Arabidopsis thaliana: one gene and its partners. The protein of the gene in region 3 interacts with the protein of the main gene of each other region in a biochemical or structural test. Each region holds a gene or a part of one and is shown on either strand. Other genes may lie near its edges. The genes, in order: MPK4, MPK16, AT4G08170 and MPK2.

The links.
Region 1: of the proteins of AT4G08170 (region 3) and MPK4, one has a biochemical effect on the other in vitro, tested with the Arabidopsis thaliana proteins (one large-scale study listed by BioGRID).
Region 2: of the proteins of AT4G08170 (region 3) and MPK16, one has a biochemical effect on the other in vitro, tested with the Arabidopsis thaliana proteins (one large-scale study listed by BioGRID).
Region 4: of the proteins of AT4G08170 (region 3) and MPK2, one has a biochemical effect on the other in vitro, tested with the Arabidopsis thaliana proteins (one large-scale study listed by BioGRID).

The regions. Positions count from the first base shown.
Region 1 is NC_003075.7:565,112-570,814, reverse strand, and holds MPK4 (MAP kinase 4), read right to left. Parts: upstream 3,899-5,703; 5' UTR 3,597-3,898; coding exon 3,424-3,596; intron 3,293-3,423; coding exon 3,163-3,292; intron 3,095-3,162; coding exon 2,957-3,094; intron 2,768-2,956; coding exon 2,435-2,767; intron 2,355-2,434; coding exon 2,171-2,354; intron 2,099-2,170; coding exon 1,926-2,098; 3' UTR 1,668-1,925; coding exon of another isoform or gene 1,251-1,667; 3' UTR 1,093-1,250; coding exon of another isoform or gene 949-1,092; 3' UTR 811-948; coding exon of another isoform or gene 739-810; 3' UTR 574-738; downstream 1-573. Other genes in the region: AT4G01390 (TRAF-like family protein), read left to right, coding at 1-86, 175-341, 425-573; AT4G01380 (plastocyanin-like domain-containing protein), read left to right, coding at 739-810, 949-1,092, 1,251-1,667; BPS3 (BPS1-like protein), read right to left, coding at 4,622-5,668. UniProt on the Arabidopsis thaliana protein: The ANPs-MKK6-MPK4 module is involved in the regulation of plant cytokinesis during meiosis and mitosis. Essential to promote the progression of cytokinesis and for cellularization (formation of the cell plate) during male-specific meiosis.
Region 2 is NC_003076.8:6,344,270-6,349,944, reverse strand, and holds MPK16 (mitogen-activated protein kinase 16), read left to right. Parts: upstream 1-1,677; 5' UTR 1,678-2,268; coding exon 2,269-2,292; intron 2,293-2,448; coding exon 2,449-2,857; intron 2,858-2,945; coding exon 2,946-3,073; intron 3,074-3,165; coding exon 3,166-3,225; intron 3,226-3,367; coding exon 3,368-3,517; intron 3,518-3,586; coding exon 3,587-3,742; intron 3,743-3,825; coding exon 3,826-4,037; intron 4,038-4,121; coding exon 4,122-4,226; intron 4,227-4,308; coding exon 4,309-4,481; intron 4,482-4,562; coding exon 4,563-4,849; 3' UTR 4,850-5,175; downstream 5,176-5,675. Other genes in the region: BPM1 (BTB-POZ and MATH domain 1), read right to left, coding at 5,304-5,485, 5,580-5,675.
Region 3 is NC_003075.7:5,162,697-5,168,997, reverse strand, and holds AT4G08170 (Inositol 1,3,4-trisphosphate 5/6-kinase family protein), read left to right. Parts: upstream 1-1,805; 5' UTR 1,806-1,997; coding exon 1,998-2,191; intron 2,192-2,626; coding exon 2,627-2,708; exon of another isoform or gene 2,709-2,903; coding exon of another isoform or gene 2,904-2,915; coding exon 2,916-2,948; exon of another isoform or gene 2,949-3,929; coding exon 3,930-4,050; intron 4,051-4,162; coding exon 4,163-4,255; intron 4,256-4,435; coding exon 4,436-4,555; intron 4,556-4,636; coding exon 4,637-4,813; intron 4,814-4,896; coding exon 4,897-4,952; intron 4,953-5,029; coding exon 5,030-5,114; intron 5,115-5,190; coding exon 5,191-5,291; 3' UTR 5,292-5,778; downstream 5,779-6,301. UniProt on the Arabidopsis thaliana protein: Kinase that can phosphorylate various inositol polyphosphate such as Ins(3,4,5,6)P4 or Ins(1,3,4)P3. Phosphorylates Ins(3,4,5,6)P4 to form InsP5.
Region 4 is NC_003070.9:21,882,179-21,886,592, forward strand, and holds MPK2 (mitogen-activated protein kinase homolog 2), read left to right. Parts: upstream 1-1,839; 5' UTR 1,840-2,029; intron 2,030-2,331; 5' UTR 2,332-2,342; coding exon 2,343-2,765; intron 2,766-2,857; coding exon 2,858-3,565; 3' UTR 3,566-3,873; downstream 3,874-4,414. Other genes in the region: ZCF61 (E3 Ubiquitin ligase family protein), read left to right, coding at 61-156, 233-373, 462-527, 603-715, 802-933, 1,020-1,063, 1,171-1,249, 1,352-1,454.

The DNA of each region.
Region 1 (5,703 bases), 4.6 Mb from region 3:
GTCACTTGGATGATGACCATGTTCTCGTCCTTCAACCCTGGAAACGTTCATCAGTCTAATGAATTTGTCGTTGGAACCCGGAAATGGTTGATATTATATTCCTCCTTTTTCCCAAAAACATAACACAACTTATATATAATACTAATAAAAATGCATCACAATATATTTGATCAGGAGAATTAAAGTTCATCCAAGAGGGTCTATGGGTGAAAAAGACAAATCATTTTCTGTGTATCTATCGGCACTAGGGTTTGTCAATAATGCACCAAAGACTAAAACTTACGCGAGGTTCAAGCTGCGTGTATTGGATCAAGTTAGCAGGAATCATGTTGAGAAAACAAGTATGTGTTTATTATGTTTTGGAAAGTCTTGTGATGCATGATGGTTAAATACAGTACTAATCTTTTTCTCCTGGTACGTATAGTTTCGGGTTGGCTTGGTGCAGAACCTGATGACCGCCATGGCTTTGCGGATTTCATGCCTCTAGGGGAACTTGATGACCCTTATTTGGTGAAGGATAAGCTTTATGTGGGAGTTGACTTTGATGTCATTTCCGTCTCTAATTACTGTTAGCTATATAATCAGCAAGAAATATTTATAACGTATGAATAAAATGCTGGAGAATATATATAGTACTATTATGTAACTAAGCTACTGATGCCGTAATGACTTGTGATGTGTGTCGACGTACGTGTTGCTGGAGATGAAGATGATGTGCTTGGCGTGTATTTTCAGTTTATGGGCATAACAAGACAATCTACAAGATTTCATAAGCCCAGTTTATCAACTATAGAGACTTGGTTCTCAATCGTTATTGTTTCTTGTTAGTTTTGTTTTGCAAATAAGATCTTGTTTTTTTTTCAAGGAATCGTGAGCATTCCATTGCTTTTACTACCTATATATATGAGAAAAACGCCAAAAGAAAAGACATAATTTGTTTGCCAAAAGAAACTTGTGTTCCACGTTGGGGATTCTTTGATCTTCGAACACAATCACAACCTCAACGACGTCACTCAAGTCTCCGGCGCTTTGGAATACGAGTTCTGCGACTCTTCTTCTCCTAAAGCCGTCTACAACCCTGGACACGATATCGTAACCCTCACGGAACCAGGTTTTCACTAGTTCATCAGCTCAAACCATGCTCAATGCGCATCGGGACAGAAGCTCGACATTCTTGTCGTTCATGACTCGTCACGTCCCATTCCTCCAACACCACCGAGCAAGATCCTTCCTCCTTGAAATATCTACAGAGTTGGTGTGGCTCCAAGGGATGGAGTGTTCCGCAAGAAAGTTACTTTTATTACAGATGGAGTGAGAAGACGCAGTTTCCGATCGGAGACAGTCTTCTTTTCGAATACGACAACGAAGTCAACGACGTCTTAGAGATCAGCGGGGACCTTGAATTCATATCCTGCTACCCGATTTCTCCCGTAGCCGTGCACATGACAGGCCACGATCTCGTCACGCTCACAGAACCAGGAGTCCATTATTTCATTAGCTCTAAGACTCCAGGTCACTGTTACGCTGGGCTTAAGCTACGAGTCGTGGTCGGACCACTCACCAAAGCCGTACCTGTCCCCAATGTTCCGACGAAGAAGATAGAGTTGTCACTTATGGACCGCTTCAACAGATGGTTACGCACCTTCGGACCTCAACCCCATCATTAAGATAATTAGTGGATGTAATTAGAGTTAAGACTTCTCTGTATTTTCTTTCGACTAAAAAGTAAGGAAATTTAAATACACTCTATTGCAAAACACAGCTCAAAGGTTGTTCTTTTCTTTTTTTCCAATTTTTTAGGATGTTATTCAAATTACAGACATATTATCAAACTTATCAGAGATTTGATAACAAAAGCAGAGCAAAACAAAACATAGCATTTTGATGAGTTTCCTTTTAAGGATATATATCTCTCTCTCTTTCTCTCACACTGAGTCTTGAGGATTGAACTTGACTGTTTCACGGTATATAAGCTCCTTAATGTTCTCTTCTGTCAAAGTAGGTTGCTCGAAATCAAAATTGAACGGCCTCACACATACCGGTTCTTCGTTGATATCATGCAGCGGCGCCAAATATGGGTGGCACAACGCCTCATCAACTACACACACAAAAAACATGTTCAGAAAATAGCCGAAGAAACAGAGAAGCAGTTATATAAAATATAACTCACCTGTGATGCGTCTGCTTGGATCAAAAACAAGCATTTTCTCCAGCAAATCGACTGCACCAGCCGACATGTTTGGGAATCTAGCAGCAAAGTTCTGTCTAGGGTACTGTGGAAGCTGTCTAACGTATCTTCTTGCATTGTCACTTCTTAAGAATCCCAAGCTTGAGTCATCAGGAGATCCTATAAGCTGCTTTCCAAAGATTCATTAATACCGTGAAGAGAGACTAAGTGGTGATTCTTTGGATGAAACATACTAAACTAGATTACCTCAGTGATGAGTCTAAGCTGATGAACATAATCTTTACCGGGAAACAAGGGCTCTCGTGTCATTGTTTCACCGAGTATACAACCGACAGACCAAATATCAATTGCTGCTGTGTATTCAGAGCAATTAAGTAGCAGCTCTGGAGCTCGATACCAACGTGTAACAACATATTCAGTCATAAAGTCAGTCTCGGATTTGGTCCTCGCAAGCCCGAAATCCCCAAGCTTTAGATCACAATTTGCATTCAGGAGCAAATTGCTAGGTTTCAAATCTCGATGCAATACATTAGCTGAATGAACATATTTGAGCCCACGCAACAACTGATACAGAAAAAACTGCAAAACATAATCGAAACTAATTACTAAACACAACTTCAAAGCATAACAAACGAAATCCTTATTAGCTCTCACTTATAAAGTATCAAGCAATACTCATCAGATGCTCTAACACAATAACAGCTGCTTCTAAAGTAGAAACAGAAGATTCAGCTGCTAGATATAAGCAAGATGGAGATTGATGCATACCCGACAATGATCATCAGTTAAGGGTTGGTTAGAGCGAATAATTTGGTGGAGATCAGTGTCCATAAGCTCATAAACAATGTAAACATCATTGAAGTTCTCTCTCTGCGGTGGTTTTATTATATCCTTTACAGCAATCACCTGCACAATAAACCAATATAAGATTCACACAAAAAAAACCAGAGATGCTGATGATTAGTAACACGTACATTTTCATGATCCATATGCTTGAGAAGCTTAATCTCTCTCAAAGTCCTTTTAGCATCGATAATATTGTCAAAAGCATTACCAATCTTCTTGATAGCTACCTCCTCTCCAGTCTCTGAGTTTGTAGCAGCACTGATCAACAATTATCAACACAAGTTATTATAATAACAACAGATTCCAAAACCCTAATTCCCAAATCTAAGAACCCCAGAAGTGAACATTACATGTTTCAAAAACCCAATCTGATTAATTTTGGAACTCACCAGACAATTCCATAAGCGCCTCTACCGATAGGACGAAGAGGAGGAACATACTTTCTAGAAACTTCGAAGAGATTGCCATAGACATTATACTGAACATAGCTACCACCATGAGTAGCCACTCCTTTGCTGCTGCTTTGATCACCCGAGCTTCCGAAACAACTCTCCGCCGACATCGGAGCAAAATTCCTCACAACAACGAAAACGAAGAACCCTAGAGAAATTGAGGAATCGAGAAGATGGGTGTTGACATTTCGTTATAAAGTCTCTACCTTTACCCTTTTTTTTTTATTGAACGGTAAAGAGGAAGTCTCCTCTCGAGTCACCCGTGACCCTTAAACCGGGTTTGCGTCTTCTTCTTTGGTTTTTGTTCTTTTTCTTTGTAATGTCAATTTTCAATTTTGTTTATGGTATCGAGTTGGGTATATCCGATGATTGTGTCTCTAAGTAATTGAGGAACGGGTAAGTGTTTTTAGTCAATTGGTTAAGTTTTGTTTACTGGAGTTTGCTTCTACTAAATCGCGTTATCCCACGAAGTAGAGATTAGATATGGTTATGACTTTTGCCGAAAAAATGTAATTGATGAAGTTTGTAGAATGGAACAAGTTAATGACTTCATGTAGGAATGTTCTTGATATCATATTATAAAGTTTAAAAGAATCTAGATGACAACTTTTCTCCAATAAGAATTTAAGTACGACTTGGTATATTGGTGGTGTACAAGTCAATGGGCGGCCAAATTGTTTTTGACCATAAAACTGACCTTTGATTCCAAAACCATTAGTGAAAAAAGGTTTATGTATAAGATAAAATGACATCATTTTGATTTTTTTTAAAAAATCATGGTTAAACAACTTATATAACCATGTTGAAGTTTGGTGCATTTGTTATTATTAATAGCTAGAATATCTGGTTTGCTTTGATTGATTGATCATGTAACCATGAAAATAACACTGATTTTTTTTGGTCTAGTGATTTACAATGGGCCTCAAGCAAACCCATCACTTATCCATTATCAACTAAGATGAACTAAAGCACAATTCTGACTAACTTGAAAATGTAGTTATAGCTTAGCACCGATTGAAAAGAGAGAGTTATCAATATTTGAAGCGTTTTAAAGTCTCATTTTTATCTGCATTTGTTATTACTTAACATCAACGATACCATAATTACATGTTTCCTCTATATTCACAAACAAGTCTTAGCTCTTTTCCTCTATATTAACACTTTTAACCATCGTTGGCAATGTCACTCCTAGCTCTTCTGCGCATTTCGTCCACAGGCTCTCCAACAATGCGTCTCGGGCAGAGATCACCATCTTCGACAAGCAACGTGTTTCCTTGGAGACTAGCTCAAACCTTTCCGAAAGTTCTATCACTGACTTCTCCAATGGTTCCACTAACAAAATAGGAACCGACCCTTCTTGTACCGCTGTGTAAAGCTTCTTCACACCGGTTTCAACAGCCTCGAGATCTTTTATAACCGTGAATCCGTCTGATAAAAATGTGTTTTTGATCTCCGGGTTAATAGTGTTCTGCAGTTCCATGAAAGCTTGAACCCATGGAAGCTCCTCCATCTCCTTTGGAATGGTTAGATAGAAGAGATTCTTGGAAGAACCCGAGAACGATGCATCAAACACGCTGAATATGTATAAAGTCTTGACCTTTACACCGTATAAAACTCGTAAGAGAACTTTTCCTTCCGCAGAGTATTTCTTCTTCCCCTTCTTGGAGATATGATGATGATGATCCATCGATTCAACCAGCCTACTCAAAACCGCGCCCCAGTTTTCGATACTCGGGTTCTTGGAAACCATGTGCTGATTCCAACGCTGAAGAATATTGCCACTGTTTGTCTCCAGCTTACTAAAAGCAAACTTTAGTAATAGATTGCCATGTTCCAAATGATATATCTCTGAGGTAAAGGCGTTGCAGAGTTCCCGCTTCAAGCTAAAGTCAGAGAAGATATAAATGAAATTCTCCTCCAAATCCGATACTGGAACCTCTAAATCCTTCACGAGCGTCCTGATACTCTTGTGTGTCTCACAAAGAGACTGCATGGCTTGTATCATCCAAGAAACACTAACGATATCATTCTTATCCTTTGGTACAAGTTCTCTAATCGATACCGTCAAGTTAGTCTCGAAATTGTTCAACAGTGAGAGAAGCTTTGGCGATAATCGAGCATTGTTCTTCTTCGTAAACAGAATCTTGAACGGGTTCCGAGAGCGTGTACGTTGTTGGCTCATATCAACTGAAAACACACAGAAAGAAGAAACAAAGT
Region 2 (5,675 bases), on a different chromosome or scaffold from region 3:
AAGAAGGATCCAGAGTTTGCTGCCTTGTTTCGAGTCAGATCCTCTTCAAGAACTGAACCAGTCAGCTCCAATCCACCTGATGCGCCTAATGCCACAACTGCTGGGATCGGACCTGAAGCTGTCGAACCTGAGGCTGTTGTAGCTAACCCAAACACTGGGTCATCTCCATCTGAGGCTTTCTAACATTCTGTATTAAGTTTCTTTTTCACTCATCAAAACTTGAATCTTTTGTTGGTTTGTTATGTAAAATTATTTGGCCTTCTAACATTCTGTATTCAGTTTCTTTTTCTGTACTTGAAACCTAAAATTTCAGCTTTTAAATATGAGTTTAAGGTTTCTTAATTAGTATTCAACTTCAAAGTTTAGTATAAAAATCCAATTAAGATAACCATTAAATATTGTTAAGTAGAACAGTAATCCCTATATTCAACAGTAATCATGCTTAAAACAAAACAGAAAAGAGTCGCTTATTTACCGCGAATCCATCGCAAACTTTACTACGGATTTGCGACTACAGATAAAAGCCACGCAAATCCATCGCAAATTTTGCGAGGCATTAGCGGGACAAAGAATTTGCGACTACTTTGCTACTGAAGTATTCCCTCGCAACTTGCGAGGAAAGAGCGAGGCTACTGTTGCAGCTAATATGCTACCGAGTACGTCCCTCGCAAATTGCGTGTGCTTCGCGAGTCTGGTCGTCCGTCGCAACTAGCGAGAAACTTGCGAGACCCGAAATTTGCTGTGAATTTGCTACGGATTGCTTCCCTTGCAAATTGCGTGTGTTTTGCGAGGCAACTTGTTCCTCGCAACATTTGCGAGGAACTTGCTACGAATTTGATTTTACGACGCGCGTTTTGCGAGGAACTGGAGTTCGTCGCAATTCCCTCGCTAAATGCTTTTTGCGAGAGACTAGCGACGGTTTCTTCCCTCGCAACTGGCGTGTTTTCTTGTAGTGACATCTACTTGAAGATTTAAAGCTTCGCTTTATTTATACGTTTGAAATCGATGCAAATGCAATTTTTCCAACCATGCAAAAGTTTACGCATGCAAGCACCTACAGTTATGAAGCAATTTCAAAGAACCCACCAAAGACAGAAGATATTAGATACGAAATACATATTTCAAATAAAATACTAGATTGACGATTGCATATATAAGTTTTTGTAAGTTTCTTGTACCATTGTACATAACTCATAAATATTGTCTCTAGATAATTAAGTATGTCTTATCGGTCAAATTCTATATCTTAAAAATAAGTAAGATTACTCATTAACTGCATACGAAAAAAAATTTAAACCACTCATTTCAATCGGATTCGAAATATAGGATAATCCACTTCATTTATATGTCTTTAACAACGACTATGACACGAAAGAAAATTATAAAGTAAACGAACTATTTATTATTGTAATAATTATAAGTCATCACTAATCCATAATAAATCGGATATCTATTCATTAAGAAGAGCATATATTAAAATAGTTTATACAAAAATATCCACACTGTATTATATTCGACGTTTGGACATTATCCAAAAGCTAGATTTAAGACAAAAGTCGCAAGTACCCATAAACCTTGGGGGGCAAATTGGAGTTTTCGTACAACGATAATCAGACTCCACTTATCCGCTTTTTTCAATTATCACAATAAAAGAAACGAATAATAATAATATTTTAATAATTTGTTCTGTTCTGTTCTTCATCTCATAGATCTCTCCTCTCTACACTTTCTTCTACAAAAGTGAGCAAATAAACTTGCCTCTTCGTCTGCTTCGTGAGATTTCAGATCCTGTAAAGAAATTTTATTAGCTCAAAAGAATCATTTTTGGGTTTCTGAACCATAAAAGCTTCTCTCGACTTTCAAAAACTCTCTCCTTTTTCCTTTTAGCCATTTCAAGCAGAGAGATTGATCGAAGAAGATAAAAACCTCGTCTTTCTTCAATCTCAGTGATTCTCAAATTACCCATCGCTTCCTTCTTTTGATCTCTTTGATTTCACTTCAAAAAGCAAAGAAATCTCGATTAGGTTATTCCTTGTTTCACCCCATAAATTTGCCTCCTTTTTTTTGGTCTCGGGAACTACTCTGATTTGTTTCAATCGATTCTGGATTTCGGGATTTGGATATAGAGCTCTCTGTTTTTGACATTGCCTTTGGAACTAAAATTCTCAGTCTTTGCATTTTTTTGATTCAAAAGCTCACTAAGTTTGGGTTTCAGAAGCTATTACATTTGGTCTTCGTAAGCGTCCTTTGAATGCCCTGTAGCTGAAGATGCAGCCTGATCACCGCAAAAAGGTCCAATTTTTCAATCTCTTATGTATCAGATTTGCTTATTAGAACTGATTAGGATCTGTAGCAATCCTTTTTACTGTTACTGCCTTTTAGTTTAGTCCTAATCTTTCTCTGTATTGAAGCTTTTGATATTGACAATAGATTTTTCTGTATATTCAGTCATCAGTTGAGGTAGATTTCTTCACGGAATATGGTGAAGGAAGCAGATACAGAATAGAGGAAGTGATTGGTAAAGGAAGTTATGGAGTTGTCTGTTCTGCTTACGATACACATACCGGAGAGAAAGTTGCGATTAAGAAAATCAATGATATCTTTGAGCATGTTTCGGATGCAACTCGCATTCTTCGTGAGATCAAACTTCTTAGACTCTTACGCCATCCTGACATTGTTGAGATCAAACACATCTTGTTGCCGCCTTCAAGAAGAGAGTTTCGAGACATTTACGTGGTTTTCGAGCTTATGGAATCTGATTTGCATCAGGTTATTAAGGCAAATGATGATTTGACTCCTGAGCATTATCAGTTTTTCCTCTATCAGCTTCTTCGTGGCCTCAAGTATATACACACAGGTTAAGCTAGCGAGCAATAAAATTTCATTGATTAGTATAAGTTTATGATTATCTTTCTGAAAATACTTTTTTTTTCTCTTCCTTTCAGCTAATGTCTTTCATCGGGATCTTAAACCCAAAAACATATTGGCAAATGCTGATTGCAAACTCAAGATCTGTGATTTTGGACTTGCAAGAGTCGCATTCAATGATACACCGACTGCGATATTCTGGACTGTGAGTAGTAGTAATTTAAATGCTTACTCTTTACAAGTTTACTCTTTTTGGTATGAAACCAATTTTTTATTCCTACTGCTTTCTGATCGCAGGATTATGTAGCTACTCGATGGTACAGGGCTCCAGAACTATGTGGATCTTTTTTCTCAAAGGTGACCATGATTTTGTATATATACTTTCATCGAATGTTTCAAATTTTCATAGGGAATCTAGTCAGTAGACACTATAGCTCTCTCATTCAGATTATAAAATTTTATGGTAACATTTTTTTTCTTTATCTATGCTTCTGTTCAGTATACACCGGCAATAGATATATGGAGCATCGGGTGCATTTTTGCAGAACTCTTAACAGGGAAACCTCTTTTCCCCGGGAAAAATGTGGTCCATCAATTGGATCTGATGACGGATATGCTGGGAACTCCATCTGCTGAAGCCATTGGAAGGGTATGTGTTCCTTTCCACAATGCTTAAGCATTGTTTCTTTTTTTGGCTGAATTTCTTACACTGAAACAGGTTAGGAACGAGAAAGCTCGAAGATACTTGAGCAGCATGAGGAAGAAGAAGCCTATTCCTTTTTCACATAAGTTCCCACATACTGATCCTCTTGCTCTTCGTCTTCTAGAAAAGATGTTGTCTTTTGAACCCAAGGACCGGCCTACAGCTGAAGAGGTGGTTCATACATTTCGTTCTTTACACTCCTTATGATGTAACTTTGGTTATAGCTAACTAAATGGTTTTATGTGTTACCTCAGGCGCTTGCAGATGTGTACTTCAAGGGTTTAGCTAAGGTTGAAAGAGAGCCTTCTGCTCAACCTGTCACAAAGTTGGAATTTGAGTTTGAAAGGCGGAGGATCACAAAAGAAGACGTCCGAGAGCTCATATACAGAGAGTCTCTGGAGTACCACCCAAAGATGCTGAAAGAATACTTGGATGGATCAGAGCCAACTAACTTTATGTACCCGAGGTACCGGCCTGAGCTGACCTGCTTCATACTATACTCCTGTGTATTATCCATGTTCTTATGGTTAATGTATTATTCATTCTGCAGTGCGGTGGAACATTTCAAGAAACAATTTGCTTACCTCGAGGAACACTACAAGAATGGTACTTCTCATAATCCCCCTGAGAGGCAACAGCATGCATCATTACCAAGGTATGCTTTACGTCCTTTAAAAATTTGATCATTTGGGATTCTTTCGAAACAGCTCAACAAAGCCTCTTTTTATGTTTTGCAGGGCTTGCGTATTGTACTCTGATAACAATCATCCGGTGGCACAACAGAGTTCAGCTGAAGTCACTGATGGACTCTCCAAGTGTAGCATTAGAGACGAGAGACCTCGGGGTGCAGACAGGAATGCCCAGATGCCAATGTCGAGAATTCCTATCAACGTCCCTCAAACAATCCAAGGTCTCTCACCCTCTCTGTATATAATGTTATGATGCAGAATAACTCTGTCTCCTGAACATTTATCTGGTTGTAATGAAGCAGGTGCTGCAGTAGCTAGGCCTGGTAAAGTAGTTGGATCAGTGTTACGCTATAACAACTGCGGCGCAGCCACAGGCGTTGAAGCTCTTGAACAACAACAGAGAAGGATGGTCAGAAATCCAGCTGCTGCGTCTCAATACCCAAAGAGGACTCAACCTTGCAAAAGCAACAGAGGAGATGAAGATTGCGCCACCGCTGCTGAAGGTCCAAGTAGATTGAAGCCAAACACTCAGTATATACCACAAAAAGTGTCTGCAGCACAAGATACTGCAATGAGTCGCTGGTATTAAACATGATGTTATGGTTCTAGTTTTAGCTTTACCACCTCACGTCTCAGGGAGAGCTAAAAAGAGTATCCCTTTGAGTCATCCATTGTGTTATCAAGAGCCGAAACGTGAAGACATGCTTAAGAGCGAAATGAGAGAAGGAAGCGTGAGAAGATAAAAGAAGTTCTTACAGATCCTGTCATGTAATTTGTCTTCATAGTTTTGTATTCTTAAAACAACCTTTGTTTATCTACGTTGTAACACTTACACTGTCTACGATTCTTATATCCCATGAACTCAATCTGTTTCACCTAATAATCTGATATGCACCAACAATAAACCCCAAATTTCATTGGATCTTTGATTTATGAGAAAACGCGTTGAAAACGATTCATTGTACTTGCTAGATCCGATTAGATCAGCCATTATCCATAACAGAGATTATACAATGCACAAATCTTTCTTCTTTCTCTCCCATTCAGTGCAACCGGGGCTTCACTCGTCTTCCACTCGCGTCACAACCATCGGCAAATATTTCTTTTCGATGTCCAGATACTATAACAGAGTGTTCACTTAGCCTCGCCACATACTGCAATAGCTCCGTTAGTAAAGATGGGCAACTCTCTTTCAGATAATCAAACCCATCTGTTTGCATCACAGCTGATCATAACAAAAGGGAAAAAACAGACACAAGTCTCATCATGTGAACAGAGTTGATTCAGATCGATTAAAAAGAAAGATCTTGTGTGTTTACCTTTCAGGTTCTCTGGCAGTGCCACGAATTTGAGACACACTGCTTTTAGCTGCAAACAATGATGCTGCTCTGCTAGGGCCAAAGTAGTTGCAACCG
Region 3 (6,301 bases):
GAATTATTTTCATATTTTTCAAAATTTTCAATGAAAATTAAAATATTTTATCTGCTTTTTTCATTATGGTTGTTAATGTTCGTTTCACAAGCTTTAATGGTATCAAACTTTTACTCTTTTGAGGGTGTGGAGAAGTCTCCCAATGAGAGAGCTATGTTTCATCATGATGATTTTCTCTCCTAATCTTCATCCGAATAATCCCTAACACCATCTCAAGCACTATTAGGGATCTAATGTTATTTCGTTCGAGAATGAAGACAAAAAAGTATGAGGTTTAAAATTCATTCGTCTCTACGCTTCCCCAATATTTAGAGGCAGTTTACCATCTGCGTTTTAAGATCGATAATCTCTAGAAGGGATGATTGGCTCGGGTGGTGATGGGGCAAGATATGGTCTCTAACACGAGGAATGTGTACGTATATGGGTATCATTGTAAATCGGGAAAGAGTAATAGTCCAGCTAATCTATAACTTCGTGAACAAATCCTTGCGGTGCACAATAGGGACTTTCTAGTAATGCGACCTTCACTATGAGACTCTCACTTGAAGGAGCAAGAATCATCTTCATGAAAAATATTATGCCATTTAGAACATCATAAGTAGAGTTTCTAATACGTTAAAGAGATCCACACAGTCTCACTAGTTGAGATTTGTGTATTCTTCCTAAACCTTAAGGGATAATGCATCTACTCAAATTGTAATTTAGATTCTTGAAACCGGAGCATTAACTGCTCGAATACTCGAAAGTAGTTTGTGACAAGAGTTTCCAAAGTTGCAAAAGATCTCTTCCATCTAGAGTTGGGAGGGGATGACTTCTATGTGAATCCAAGATATCATGGTATTAAGAAACACATCTACAACATGCATCTCTCCAAATCAAAGAACCAATGGTTGAAGTAGTATGGCTTTTTGTTGAGAATCTTATAGGACTCTTTGAAGAAATGGTAAGATCATCAATTCTCAAAAAGCCAAAACAAAGTTTTCTCGAAAGCATGGGAAGATGAGTTGGGAAGATGAGTTCTAGTTAAGTCACTAAGAATGTGAGGACGTATTCGGAGGACCAAAAAGCTCAAAGTTAAAGTGATGTAGTAACTTAGCCGTTTATAAAGGGAAAGACGTACTATTTTAAGAGGAATTTTGAAGAAAGTTACCAATTTTAAAATTTAAAAGTATGTGAGATCTGCTTTTTTGAAATAAAATAATTTATTAAGTCTTTTTATACATAGAATATATATTCTTTTTAATGAAATTCTACCTAAGTTTTATTCACAAACATTCACTAATATCATTTATACAACCGTTTTGGTCATATAAATAGTTGTTGAGTTTTGATAAATTGATAAAAAATTATTTTACCTAATAAAATTATACAAAAATATTAATTTGTTTTTTTGCTAACTATATTATTTGAAAGAAAATTAGCTACATGATTTTCTCCTAAAACATTCATTTTGCGAATTATATCTAAAAAATTTAATCGTCTCTCAAACTTGTCAATACATTGATTTCAAATCCCGACCAACAATAAACTCTCCAAACTCAAACCAGATCGATCTATCTAACATTTTAAAAAATTCCAACCTAGATCATTCACGTTCTTAAACAACAACAAATCACAACTAGCTATATATCGGCTTGGCTCAGACAAAAATAAAACAGTGCAGTTCCAAGAATATGTTCAAATTGCAATATACATTTCTCATAATTAAAACATGTTTCTTTACCAAAAAAAAAAAAAAAACAACCGTTAGACACATACATGTGTACACATGTCCCTCACGCCGCTATAAATATTTCAGACCTCTCCCTACTCTCTCATAACCCACCCAAAATATCACAAGCACCGACTAAAACAATTCGGATCTAAACCCGACCCGGTAAAACCAATCCCAAATTTTACTCCGTTGTGAACGCATCAAACCCAGAAAATTTCTTCCTCCGATCTCGCATTCTCCACTTCCATAATCCCCAAAATTGTTTCGTTGATTTTTCCACAAGATGAAGCTAACGGACAACGAAGAGATCACCATGAACGGAACTCGAGAAATGGAGACGACAGAGCAAGAGACATCGTCGCCGTGTTCGTTAGTAATCGAAGCTTTTCCGGTGAAGAAATCCATTATTGTAGGTTACGCTCTTACATCAAAGAAGATTAAGAGCTTTTTACAACCAAAACTCGAAGGTTTAGCTAGGTTTGTGATTCTGATTTTTAACCCTAATTTTATTGTTTGTGCTATCAGATATTATTTAGGACTTAATCGAGCCAATTTTGAGGAAAACTGTTTACAAAAGTGATATGTACCTGTTCGGCACGAATTTTTTGTGTCAAATAGTCGGCTTTGATATTATTTAGGACTCAAATGAGCCAATTTAGAGGAAAATTGTTTACAAAAGTGATATGTAGCGGTTCCGCACGAATTTTTTGTGTGTCAAATAGTCCGCTTTGATATCATTTGCTTTCATGCATATTGTTAATGAACAAATTCTCAATTTTTTAAAATTAATTTTCATAAGAATATTCTCTTCACTATTTAATTGTTTGATTTTTCTTTTGGAATCTTTGACCTTCTATTGATGAAATGGTGTTACTATAAAGTTTAGTTACTGTAGTTATGTGTTTTGTGCAGGAATAAGGGGATATTATTTGTGGCAATAGATCAGAATAAGCCACTTTCAGAGCAGGGTCCGTTTGATATTGTGTTGCATAAGGTTAGTTTTATTGGATCTTTGTTAACCCTGTTGGTTTTCTGATACATTCATCTTATTTTTGCCTATGGTTTGTCAGAAGATATGTCTTGGGAACATCCCCTGCTCAGGTTGTTAGAAACTAACCTTGTTTTGCGTCTTCTTGCTTAGCTTCTTTTCATTGATGCCTGATTATTCTTATTTGGTGTTTGTTTTTACATGTACTGGCAGCAAATTGGAAAAGAATGGCGTCGAATTCTCGAGGTTAGTCTTACGATTGTTTCCGTTTTTGTATTTGCTGTGGCACATTCTATAGCCTAAGATTATTAGATCATGTATGTCTGTCATTCTGTGGTGATGAGTACCATGTTGATGTAGTTATGTTATATAAGCCTTTGTTAGATGAGAGATGGTGGTAAATTGCACAAGTTAGCAACTAGTTCCTTTTAATTTCTAAATCTTGTTTCTCAATGGAAATTTTTTTCCAGAGCTTTTACTCTTTCCTTGTCGTGAGTCATTAGTTGATACAAATTGAGGTTGAGACTACTGCAAGTGAGAATATTTCTACTTCCAGAGGCATAGAACTGTAACCTCTTCAGGTTTTCTAGAGTTAGATACTAGTAATGTTTTTTGAATATTGGGTTTACATGTTCCTGGTAATAGTTGAATGCAAAATCATTTCATCTTTAAGTAGAATGTAATGCTCTCTTGTCTACATATATAAGAGCCATCATCTGATTTCTCGTTGGGGAACAAGACATTTCACATCTCATAATTGCTAGAAGAATAGAAATGAAAGTATGCTGTTTGGTGTAGAAAGTAATCGGCGTTTCTGTGTGTTTAGATCCTAGAGCTATTCAGATCTCAGGAGATCAGACTATGAATCATTAGAATGCCAACTTCTGAGTATAGTTGAATGCTAGATTTATACTCTTCAGATAGTATATACTGATGATATAGAAAAGTGTCTACAATGAAACTTTAGTTGCAAAGTGCAAGTTTCATCAGTAGATTAGTTTAATTCTTAATCTTAGTTGCAGGATAGTGAAGAGTTCAACGTTGGGGATACAGTTTTTAGACTGACACTGTCGCTGTGTTAATAATAATATCAATGTAGATCAATATCTCAGGAGATCTCAGCAATACAGAGATAGAAGTTTTCTGTTTATGACCATTAGCAGGGATGCACTTTTGGGTGTTGAAAAGTAGACTATGTGTGAGCATAACTGTTTCTAATAATTTCAGGAATTTAGGCTAGCACATCCAGATGTCACAGTTCTTGATCCTCCAGATGCAATACTACATCTCCGTAATCGTCAGTCAATGCTTCAGTGTGTTGCGGACATGAATCTGTCTGATAGTAATGGTAAATATTCATGTGTAATCACTTGCTATTTGCTGTTAGGGACGCTAAGGTTAAAGATTTTATTAGTAGAGTTCTGTGTATCTGAGTAGTAGAAGTTGCTCTGATTGTGCAGGACGCGTTGGTGTGCCCAAGCAATTGGTAATTAAAAAGGATGCATCTTCAATTCCGGAGGCTGTCAATAATGCTGGTCTGAGACTACCTCTTGGTATGATTCCCTCCTTATGTTCTGTTAATGACTTTCGTTTAGCTTCATGTGGCATCTTGTTGTCTATCACAAAAGCCACCATGGCCTGTGTTTGTTCAATTGGTGGGTGGCTGAAGTTTTAGTTGTGCATTATTAATGGATCTATAAGTAAATTATTTAATTTGATGTTTAAAATCGTAGTTGCAAAGCCATTGGTTGCTGATGGAAGTGCAAAGTCACATGAGCTTTCGCTGGCTTACGATCAACACTCCCTTCTGAAGCTCGAGCCTCCTCTTGTTCTTCAGGAGTTTGTTAACCATGGTATGAGATTTTAGTGGTTATCATTGCCTGTACTAGAACTTAGATAATTTGATTACCTATCTAAATGCTTGGCTTTCGCAGGAGGTGTTCTTTTCAAGGTTTACATTGTTGGGGAGGCTATTAGAGTTGTCCGGCGCTTCTCCCTACCTGATGTCTCTAGACGAGAACTCCCCAAATCAGCTGGTGTATTCCGCTTCCCACGGGTCTCTTGTGCTGCAGCTTCAGCTGATGATGCAGATCTGGACCCGAGCATTGCCGGTAAAATCCTCTTCATCATCAGTAAAAATCGTCTGCATTTTTCCTTTGATGAGGACCTAACAATATCCTCATTCTCGTTGCAGAGCTTCCACCACGTCCTCTGTTGGAGAGACTGGCAAAGGAACTCCGTCGTGGATTGGTATGTTTCAGTCCTCTCTACTATATATCCAAGCAGGAGTATTATATCAAACTCTACTGATCTCTAATTTGTTGCAGGGTCTAAGGCTGTTCAATTTAGACATAATTAGAGAGCACGGGACAAGAGATCGGTTTTATGTGATCGACATCAACTATTTCCCAGGCAAGTTTGATTTCCACACATTTTTTGCAATAGACTATCACAAACATGTGGTTTAAGAACAAAAGAACTTGCGCAGGGTACGGGAAAATGCCAGAGTATGAGCATGTATTCACTGATTTCTTACTGAGTGTGGTACAAAGCCAATGTAAGAAACGAGCTTTGGCAGATCAATACTAAACTCAACGGAGAGACCATTGTTCCTCCCCAAAGAAAAAAAGAAGATTAGTAGTCTATGCAATTTATTTCTGTACAGGACAAAGCACCGATTTCCCTCGATGTTGTTCTTTAGCTTCATTGTGCTGTACAAAAGAACAATGGAAGATTGCATTTAAAAGAAAATCCTTGGGACCTTTAGAGATTTAAGGATAGAGAATTGTCTGAATCTCACTACAATGTCACCATATCAAAAAGTGAATAGACCTTATGTCACACACTACTCATATGGGCATGGCTTCACTTTGTGACTGCTTCTATCTTTTGATTTGGTTGGCTTTGTACTATTTTGACCATAAATGTCATTTCTTTTGGTTTTAATCTGCTCTTATCTTTTGATCATGTCCTTGTTAGTTTGTTTGAAACTTGGAGTTTATAGTTTGGATCAGTTTTGGATGCACTCTTTTATGAGTAATCTTACAAAATTTACATCACAAATTGTTGATTATTGACTCTTTTATATAAAGTAGCTTTTAAACCTTATCTAGTACAACAATTTGGTTAGATCAATGTGAACCTTCTGAGGATAGAAACCATTTTGAAACCTTAAAAAATAGGTTTACTTGCATTGTAAGGTTTAATAAACACAAGTAGGAAAACGAAACCTGAGCTTCAGCTTTGAATTCTTTCGTTCTTTCACATGGTTGTCTATGACAACAATTGAAGCCTTCTATTTTAATTCAAGCAAACTACACTTTCCTGGGTTTAAGACAAAGCAATTGTAGTTTCTCTTTTTCTTCTTCAAATCACAAAATCAATAATGTTATTTTTTTCAAAGTATTGTGTCTAGCTCTTGCTTGTCTTGGAGTTCACTTGAAACTCTCTATGTTCTGTCTTTGACATAGAAGCATATATTATATATATATATATATCAGAGCAAGTTCCTCAACCCAACCAAAAAAACTAAAACCTCAAAAGCTTTTTAACAATTATCTTCTTTTTGTGTGTACTTAATCTTCTTCGCTTGGAACTTG
Region 4 (4,414 bases), on a different chromosome or scaffold from region 3:
ATAATCTAGTTTTTCGTTTCTGTGATTTTGGATATGTTAAAAAGAAACGATTTTTTTCAGGCAGAACAACAGGTTTTGAGACGTAATTGGAGATTTTCATGGGTTCGAAATAGTACATTGATGCAGCCGATGACTAAGGAAGTCCCCTGGTATCTGGTATGTCTGTTGGACTTTGATTGGAGTGTATTACTTTCTAAAGTCATTTACAAAATATGATATTGGTTGCCTATAGGACGACGGGACAGGTCGTGTGAATGTAGATGTATCTCAAGGTGAATTAGGCTTGGCGTTGACGGTTGGTAGTGATGTATTTGAAAAGGCAGAGCCGGTATCGCTTGTTCAAGGAGCGTTGGGTTATCTTAAAGGCTTTAAGGTCTTTTCTTTTCCTTTCCTACCACTTTTCATTGATTTGCTTTTGTTTTGACAATGCTTATACATTGTGGCACCATTGTTGTCTATAGATACTTGGAGTAAGACACGTTGAGCGTGTTGTCCCAATTGGTACACCGCTTACAGTTGTTGGTGAGGTATGTCTTTTATCTGTTAGCGGTCCAAAATACGTTTTATATCTCTCTTTGTTATGTTGCTTACCATGTTAACAGGCTGTTAGGGATGGCATGGGGAATGTCAGGATTCAAAAACCTGAGCAAGGACCTTTCTACGTCACTTATATACCGCTAGATCAGCTCATCTCTAAATTGGGAGATTTGTCAAGGTTGTTTCTTTTCTCTGTTTTTGCCTATTCTTTTCTTCGAAAACTATGATTGAAAAAAATTCTAAAAGATCTCTTTCTTTTGGCAGGAGGTTCAAGTATGCCTCCATGGGTTTAACTGTTCTTGGTGTGATTCTTATTTCAAAGCCTGTGATTGAATATATTCTAAAGAGAATTGAAGATACTCTAGAAAGAAGGCGGCGACAATTCGCACTGAAAAGGTATGACGCACCCTAACCACAGCCACGTATGAAGTATTCATTGCGAGTTGCGAGTTGCGAGTTAAGTGTTGGGTAACTTGTTGCAGAGTTGTTGATGCAGCTGCTAGGAGAGCCAAACCAGTAACTGGAGGTAGTAATAGTATCTATCCATTAGAGTTTGTACTTTGTAGTAGTAACATGTGAATCCTTTTTCTGCATACACTTGGAATTGCTCTGCTTACAAAAACGTCTTACCAGGTGGTACAAGCAGAGATGGTGATACACCTGATCTCTGTGTGGTTTGCCTTGACCAGAAGTATAACACCGCTTTTGTTGAGTAAGTATAAGACCGCTTTTCTTCTAAAAGCTCTTGAAAACCCTCTCACTGATCAAACATGGCATCTTTTGATTCCTCTTTTTGTTTGGTTTGGACTTGTAGGTGTGGTCATATGTGCTGCTGCACACCATGCTCCTTGCAACTAAGGACCTGTCCTCTTTGCCGGGAACGAATACAACAAGTTTTGAAAATTTACCGCCATTGAAGGACAAAACTCAGAACGATTTTTACAAGCGAACAATTACTAGTCTTGTACATATAGTAAAGCCTTTGTATCATGAGTTTTTGACTAGAAATTTTTTTGCATTGATAGATTGTGATTGAACAAATGCTAATATAAATTTCAAGCTTAGATTTACATTTACTAATGAAGTTATATAATCACGTTTCGATGTTAAAATAAGAAGTGAAAAAACGTGAACGGCAGGATTCGAACCTGCGCGGGCAAAGCCCACATGATTTCTAGTCATGCCCGATAACCACTCCGGCACGTCCACTTTTTGTTAATTCCTCACTATCTTAAATATCTAATTACCGTTAATTATTACAAATCAGGTTGGGCTTAATTAAGCCCAAAGTTAAAGACAGATTAGTGAAGGAGACAGAGAAAGAAACAGCTCTAAAATGGTAATGAACGAGAAACTAGAGAGTCAACGGTCATAGCGTTGACCAAATCTCTCACTCTCACCAGCCAAATCTCTCCAACTTCCTCTTTCTCTCCACCCAAATCTCGCCGGCGATCGTCACTGACGAATCTGATTCGTCCCCAACACTCAACGGGTAAGCTCTCTCTGCAAAATTCAGATCGTTCTAGCTCAATCTCAACATCGGATCAAGATTCAACTTTTGTTCTTTTCTCTTAAACAAAGCTTTTGATCATTAGTGAAATCTAAAATATTAACCTTTGAATCTGTAAACTTAAGCTTAGAGAACCCTAAGATCAAAACTAAAAATTTGATCTTTCATTGTCACTTGTTGGAAGCAATTCAAAATTCTGTGTTGTGTATATTTTCAAATTTGTGGATTGTTCCAATTTCGATAAAGTTTTGATTTTTATTCCTTTTGTTGTGTGTTTTTATAAGGAGGTAGAAGAATGGCGACTCCTGTTGATCCACCTAATGGAATTAGGAATCAAGGGAAGCATTACTTCTCAATGTGGCAAACACTTTTCGAGATCGATACCAAATACGTGCCTATCAAACCGATAGGCCGAGGCGCGTACGGTGTGGTTTGCTCTTCGGTTAACAGAGAGAGTAATGAGAGAGTGGCGATCAAGAAGATCCACAATGTGTTTGAGAATAGGATTGATGCGTTGAGGACTCTTAGGGAGCTCAAGCTTCTACGTCATCTTCGACATGAGAATGTGGTTGCTCTTAAAGATGTAATGATGGCTAATCATAAGAGAAGCTTTAAGGATGTTTATCTTGTTTATGAGCTTATGGATACTGATCTTCATCAGATTATTAAGTCTTCTCAAGTTCTAAGTAATGACCATTGCCAATACTTCTTGTTCCAGGTATGTGATTTGTTTGCATTTGCTTTTACCATTAGTGTGTGTTGTTTGCATTTGGTGTTTGCATTTACTTGCTTTTTATTTCTTTTGCATAGTTGCTTCGAGGGCTCAAGTATATTCATTCAGCAAACATTCTCCATCGGGATCTGAAACCCGGTAACCTCCTTGTGAATGCAAACTGCGACTTAAAGATATGTGACTTTGGGCTAGCGAGGACGAGCAACACCAAAGGTCAGTTCATGACTGAATATGTTGTGACTAGATGGTACCGAGCACCAGAGCTACTCCTCTGTTGTGACAACTATGGAACCTCCATTGATGTCTGGTCAGTCGGTTGCATATTCGCCGAGCTTCTTGGAAGAAAACCAGTATTCCCGGGAACAGAATGTCTAAACCAGATTAAACTCATCATTAACATTTTGGGTAGCCAGAGAGAGGAAGATCTCGAGTTTATAGATAACCCAAAAGCCAAAAGATACATAGAATCACTCCCTTACTCACCAGGGATATCATTCTCTCGTCTTTACCCGGGTGCAAATGTTTTAGCCATTGATCTGCTTCAGAAAATGCTCGTTCTTGACCCTTCGAAAAGGATTAGTGTCACGGAAGCGCTTCAACATCCTTACATGGCGCCTTTATATGACCCGAGTGCAAATCCTCCTGCTCAAGTTCCTATTGATCTCGATGTAGATGAAGACGAGGATTTGGGAGCAGAGATGATAAGAGAATTAATGTGGAAGGAAATGATTCATTATCATCCAGAAGCTGCTACCATAAACAACAATGAGGTCTCTGAGTTTTGAGATCAAGTCTTTTGCAGGTACTGTTCAGAGAGATCTTTCAACAACTTAAACTTATTTATTTTCATGTTTGCTTCTTGAAATGTTGTTAATAATAGTGTCGAAGAAGAAGAACAATAACTTTAAATTATGTGATATGTTTGTGTCATGGAGCTTTGTTTTGTTTTTGGTTACAAGCTTAAGTGTCTGTAACGTTTGTACATAAGTGTATGTGTCCTTAAAACTTCATACTCTGTCTCTGATCTTATTGTTGGTGATTTTTCTTATTGAAGATTTTCGAATGTTCAAAGAGCAAACCATTGGATTAAATATGATTTTGAAGATAAATGTATTAACACAAAGATATACACTGTTTAAAAAAATTCATGAAATAAAACATATGCATAGAATATCAAAATAAAATTATTTGGGAAATAATTTTCAATGATACATAGAATGTTCCATAGATTCGTAGAATTTTTATAAATGTGTTTTTGACTTTCATGTACCTAATTCTGAATTCAGACTTAGTATATTGTGACATTAATAGAAGTATTAATTGCTTTGTTTGATAAAAATATTTTGATGTCTATCACACACTTAAATTTAACTTAAATGATAGAAAAAATGTCAATAATTAGTAACATTTATGCTTTGGAAAAATATTTTGATGAACAGCGTGTGAATAAGAATCTTTTTTTACTTTTGTAAATGGAAAAATGTAGGACTGCACTAATTATTGAAACCATTGATGTGAAAAAAAAATCAAGAGCCAAAGAGATAAAGATTCTAGAAGACCAAGTCAAGTCTTCTCGTCGATTAATAGTCAATGAATGTTCCTCATCATCATCTCTTTGATTTATGCGTTTGATG